Saccharomyces cerevisiae S288C: one gene and its partner. The protein of the gene in region 2 interacts with the protein of the main gene of each other region in a pairwise test. Each region holds a gene or a part of one and is shown on either strand. Other genes may lie near its edges. The genes, in order: SRP14 and SEC65.

Region 1 (2,794 bases), on a different chromosome or scaffold from region 2:
CCAATGCATTAAAAATTAGGCAATATCCCCTACTTGGAATAATTTCTTTAAAGGCTGAGAAAAAAATAGAGTTAATAGCAAGAGTTGAAGGTTCTATTTCTAACTACAAAGCCCAAGATTTGGAGGCCATATTCTCCAAGAATTATTCTCGATTAATTCAATTGCGTCAGCAAAGACAAAATATTGAAATGCAGAGATTAATAAGACAACAACAGGATTCAAGATACCAGGATTCCTTAAGACGTGATCAACAAAGAGAATCAGAAAGATTGGAACAGACCCAAAGAGAACAAATGGAAAGAGAGCACCAAAGAATAGAAAACCAATGGCTATTGTGGAGAAAAAGCCAACTAAAACCCGAACCCTCTTCTGATAAAGATGCAAGCAAAGTTGCGATCAGACTAGAAAATGGGCAGAGATTAGTGAGAAAGTTTGACGCATCTCTACCAACGGAGGAGATATATGCCTTCGTAGAATTACAGTTGCATGACATGTTGAACTCAGAAAACGATACTTTACCCGTATACCAACCTGCTAATTATCAGCACCAGTATAGCTTCAAATTGATCACGCCGGTACCAAGAAGAGAGCTTGATTTATCTACCAAAATATCTGACGTTAGCGGCATATATCCATCAGGAAATATTGTAATGGAACGCCTGGACGAATGAAAGGAATTTCAAAAATAGTCATCTCAAAACGTTTATTCTAAAGTTTAGTTAAATTTATATCTACACAACTTTATGCAATTAATCTTTTATATCTACGTTGCCATCCTTTAATCTACACATCCAAAGATAACAAGAGGCGCACATGCCTTTTGACTCAAGTGTCACGTGCATCAGTTTTTCTTCGCTACCTTGTTTTTCTTTCCTGTCTTACTGATGGTACCGTTCTTACTCTTCTTTTTCTTCTTCTTGATCAAATTCTGCATGCCCCCCTTAAATACAGATGAATACTCTTGCCAAAATTGATCTAACTCACTTGCTTTTACCACTGTTGAGCATTTTGTTTTCTTGTCATGCGAGCCATAAGACATTCTGATTAATAGTGGGTATTCTCTGTCAGATCTTGAGCTAACTGAAATTTCAGAAGCCTTTTTAGATACATCATAGTCAGGATGGTTGGTAGAATCAAATTCAAGATTCCCTTCCACAGGATCGTGTTCTATGAGTCTTTTGGCCGTTAGACGCACAGTTATATGTTTTTCATTCGCAGTCTGGAAAAATTCTGGAACCTTTGATAAAAATGCACCTGGTGATAAACAGCCAGTATTTGCCATTGTTTTAGGGTGGTAAGAAAGCTACGTTTTTTGATTTGTATTAAAGAAGAGGTATGCCAACCCGTAAGTTAAACATTAACGTTAAGTATGGCTATTTTTTCAAATGAGAGATATATTATCCTTTTGCACGGGCGAGGAAGTAAGAATATGTAATTAGTTGTTTTGTAGAAGCCTCCAATTTAGGGCGATTATGCAAAGACAATCAAATAGCTGTTGTAGTCTTTATCATCGGCTGAATGTTTTGATCTGCCTACGTTCATCTCCTCATGTGCTTAAAATGCCACTCAGTGGTGATCTTGAAAAGCCCGATAAGAGAAATACCATGTTCACAGCTTTCCTTTTACCGGTTCAATCCTAATTCATCTATTCTTTGTTTATTAAATATCTTGTTGTATTTGACAATATATATGTATATACATTACTTAATACGGATCATTTTTTTGGTATTCGTTAGTTGTTTAGTGAAATTCAACGAAAGAACAAGATAGGAAAGTGTTGCATTGTGACCGGTTATGAACTCTTTTTTCATATACATCTGGTTCTTTTCCATATGTACGTAGATCTTTCCCGCAGTTTAGCTCAAATGTAGTTTTTAAATCTTTTGCTAAACGAATGTCCAATCTGAATACGGGTGGATGGATCATGATTCAGCGTTTAATTCATAGTGGCTATCGGATAGTAATAGTGAATTGCAATAAAAGTCCCAGCTTCCTAACCACTTGGACCTCTTACACAGGTTACTCGACCATCCAGTAGCATAAATAAGTGGAGAATGCTCGCTGAAGAAATAGAAACATACAACCATGAAAATAGCCACCACTATATATCCAGTATTGTTTCTTTTGTTAGAAATATAGGTTGAAATCAGGTCTAAAGCATGACCAAATGCTAGGATACCAAAATAATAGGCCGGCAAATAATCGTACAAAAATAACTTTTGCCCCACAAAGAAGTAAGGGAAATAGTGGGCGGCAAAGCCTAATAAGTACTGAAAGACCTGATAGTGGAAATTTATGATGTGCTTATCCCGTAGAATATTCACACCTAATTTCCAAGCAAGAAGCTCAACAGCCACTCCAATGATGAACGTGCAAATAAATGCTGTGACAGACCACCACAAAACAGCGTTACCTAAAAAGTACACCTCTCTGCCATTTTCATTCCAAAAATCAATACCACGCAACATAAGAGGCCAAGTCTTTGGTTCAGATGAGTAGGCATGACTAGTATCCATATAATTGTTAAGGTAGAACATGAACTTGTGGATAGCAACAAACTTCTGCCAAAAGCTCATTTTCTTATAAGAAACCTTCTCTGGATTTGGCAAAGAAATTTCGTTTTCGTTTTCTTCAATATACCATGAAGTTAAGTCTTCCCTTGCAAAGTATGCACACGTAACTTCCTGCTGCCCGAATCCCCACTCAGGTAGCTTTTCAGGATGTGAAAATAAGTAACAACCAGTTAGATAATGCTTCAGCCTAAATTTGGTTTCAATAGCCCTAATATGTTCCT
Region 2 (3,322 bases):
GTACTGCCATTAACGAGGCCTTTGAGATCATCAGTAACGCCAAGGGTCAGGTAGTTGGCTCCATAATTGCTCTTGATAGACAGGAAGTTGTGAGTACTGACGATAAAGAAGGACTCAGCGCCACTCAAACTGTTAGCAAAAAATACGGTATCCCAGTCTTGAGCATTGTCTCCTTAATTCACATAATTACCTATTTGGAAGGCAGAATAACAGCAGAAGAGAAAAGCAAGATCGAACAATACCTTCAAACCTACGGTGCCTCCGCTTAAAAATCAGTTTTTTAATTAAATGATTTATTTATCTCTTTTAAGAACTATTAATCTTAGTTACTACGATACATGCACGCCGCTCATCTATATATGTGTATAAATAGCGTATATTCACACACATATATATAGAGCGAGAGAGTTTTCTTGTTACTTTTTTCTGTGTTTCGGTACCTCTTGCCTGTAGCTGCTTCAAAACTCTTGGCTTATTGAACTCTGTTTCAACTACAGACGAAATAATACGAATAATTGATTTGTCTTGATGTAAAAATTTAAAAGCTGATACAACAAGTCATTTAGCACTTGATCTGAACAAACATCATATTCTTATAGTTCTGCTATTATAATCTATTAATATATTAATATATTAATCTCAATATACATATACATATACATAAATGGGTAAAGGAGACAATCATCTTCTAACTACTTTGTACTTATTTTTTGGTGGCTTGAACGACTTTTCTGCCGCTGTAATCTTAGGAGTTTCGTAAACAGATTTTGTCATTGGGTGGCCCATCAAGAACGGACTATGCAGCGGAACAATCTCATTCATTTTGAATCCCTTTACACGTGGAATCTTTTTGAATTCAATATTGTCGAAATCAGGGCCATATGGAATCTCCCTTAAAGATTCAATAGTAGTTGGATGTCTTTTCATATACTCCCCAACAGCTTTCATTAATTGCCTCTTTCCACCTTTGAATTTAGTGGCTGCGCCAATTAATTGTCCATTTTCTTTGAAAAGTACACGAATTCTACCAGGATTACCAAAATCTTGTGGGTGACATTTTTCACCTTCAAAAATGCATAATATTCCCAATTCACGGACAGCATCTGCCATAGTTTTAGCCAAAGGATTTTCAACAGCCAACTCCTTAGGAACCCTTCTCCCTTCCTTATGTGATCTGTTTATGTCAAAGTAACATGGATAGAGTACTTGGAATCTTTTGACTTCTTCTAAATCTTTCTTCGAAATAGCCTCCGAACGTTCAACCTTACCAGTTTTTGGGTTAATAAAACTCAACTGCTCTTTTTCGTTGCTACTATTGTTGTTGCTATTACTGTTGTTATTCGTGCCAGGTAAAAATGCAGGGTTCTCTTGGTCCTGGCTCCTTACAACCTTAGGCGTTATCTTGGGAGCGATCGGCGTCCTCAAAGATGGATCTAACTCGGCCAATTCCATATCAAGGTCGTCGATATCATTGAAATCGTCAATCTCTTCTAATCTAGGCATTTTGACTTTATGATACTATAGCTTATGGCTTATTTTATTTCTTTTGATTTCGTTAGTTGCTAGCCTGTTGAATATCATTGATATTTTTTTTTTTTTCAGATTACAAAAGCGTGAAAAATAAATACTTCCCAATTGTTTTAAGAAGAAGTACACAATTTTTAAAGCGGCTGAAGAAGTGTACCAATTTATTTGCTATTGTGACAATTACACTTTTTTTTTTAGATTGTTCGGTACTTAGTCAAGTTTTATTTTCAGTCATTACATATTATGTCCAATAAAATTGCATCAAGAGCTTCCAACAGTAAGCTGGCATTTAAATACGGATTCTGTAGCATGGCATGGACCCGGCCAGCAGCTTCATGAGAATCTCTTAGACCAACTACACGACCACAAGTGTCTGCGAAGAGTCTTTGCAAACTGGTTAAAGCGAGTTGTTCCGTCCGTAACCTTTCACCTTCGCTTCTTGTTGCCTCTGCCGTTTCATTTCTTTTTCTTTCGAACAGACCGTTATCACCCCATAGCATATTCTTGAATGTAACTATTGCTTCAAATACTTGATCCTCTGATCTCAATTTTTGAATGCTGACCTTTATATACTTTTCAATAGTGCTCCCAAGAAGCTGTTGTAAAACGGTAATTATAGCCCTTCCTCTTAACCAACCCGCGTTGGCCTTATTTAAAGCAAAGAGCGAAATAAATAAGTCACATATCTGTTTAACAAAAGATTTATTTTGCGAATAAAAAGGATAGCCAGAATCGGTGAAAAAATGTCTTTCATCTTCATAGAAATTCAATTCACCGCCGTCTTCAGAGCTTTGTAAATCAACAACAGAACTGCTATTACTTGTGCTATTACTACTACCAATAGGTTCATGAAGTGGCTCCTCCAGAATATCATCATGCATATATTCCTTGTTCAGTTTGAATGGGGTAGGATCTGTCAAAAATCTTCTGAAAATGTTATCTTCGCATATTTCAGAAATAGATAATAGTTCTCGCAAGTACTTTTCAAGTTTTTGCTTTCGTTCCTCATAAAGCAATGTTTTTGTAACATGATATTTCAATGACATTTTCACTTTTGACGGGAACAAATCTTGCAACTGCCTCATCAGATCCCTAAAATTCTTTTTCAAATATGTATTTAATTCAAAAAATTCATTATATCTCCTTGCCATATCCCAAGAACTTACCTGCCCATTGTTAAAATGATGGATATTGATGATATAATAAGTTATTTCTTTTAGGCCATTACTAGAATTCTCACTGAAGTACGACCTAATGTATATCTTAGTTTTTCTGAACAAACTATTACCATTTTCTTGTACCATATATTGCTGTTTCAACAGTTCCTTCATTTCTAGTTCCTTTAATAGGGTTCTTTGTGACTTTTTTAAAATTTTCAACTGCATTTGATTGTTGGTCAGATCTGCCTTCAAAATCAAATGCCTTAAAAGTTCAAGCTCTTTCTCAATCTGATCAATTGAAATAGTCAAGGATGCTATATTATCCCTAAAGTTGTTTGACCCATAAAATTGGCTAGGATTTAGGCCTGAATTCCCGCTGGAAACACTTACTTTCTCCATATTACGTGGGTGATCCAACTGATCCTCGACAACAGAAATTTCTGAGGTATTATCGTTTTCATCGTCGAAGAGTTTATCTTTGAAAATGTTGTCATTTTCTGAACCAAAGAGCTGAGAATAACGGGGATTTGAGCTTATTCTTGATTTATGCGGCTTGGATCCCGATCCATTCACTATATTATCTAAAGCATCTGTGATGCCGGGGTTTGCGAATATTCTGACAGGATTCATAAAAT

Evidence for each region.
Region 1: the proteins of SEC65 (region 2) and SRP14 interact in binary tests that used the Saccharomyces cerevisiae proteins (3 or more experiments, as listed by UniProt).

What each region holds. Positions count from the first base shown.
Region 1 is NC_001136.10:291,269-294,062, reverse strand, and holds SRP14 (RNA-binding signal recognition particle subunit SRP14), read right to left. Parts: upstream 1,283-2,794; coding exon 842-1,282; downstream 1-841. Other genes in the region: clathrin-mediated endocytosis regulator UBX3, read left to right, coding at 1-671; putative dolichyl-phosphate-mannose-protein mannosyltransferase PMT5, read right to left, coding at 1,923-2,794. UniProt on the Saccharomyces cerevisiae protein: Component of the signal recognition particle (SRP) complex, a ribonucleoprotein complex that mediates the cotranslational targeting of secretory and membrane proteins to the endoplasmic reticulum (ER).
Region 2 is NC_001145.3:57,185-60,506, forward strand, and holds SEC65 (RNA-binding signal recognition particle subunit SEC65), read right to left. Parts: upstream 1,504-3,322; coding exon 682-1,503; downstream 1-681. Other genes in the region: orotate phosphoribosyltransferase URA5, read left to right, coding at 1-269; MDM1 (Mdm1p), read right to left, coding at 1,755-3,322. UniProt on the Saccharomyces cerevisiae protein: Signal-recognition-particle (SRP) assembly has a crucial role in targeting secretory proteins to the rough endoplasmic reticulum (ER) membrane.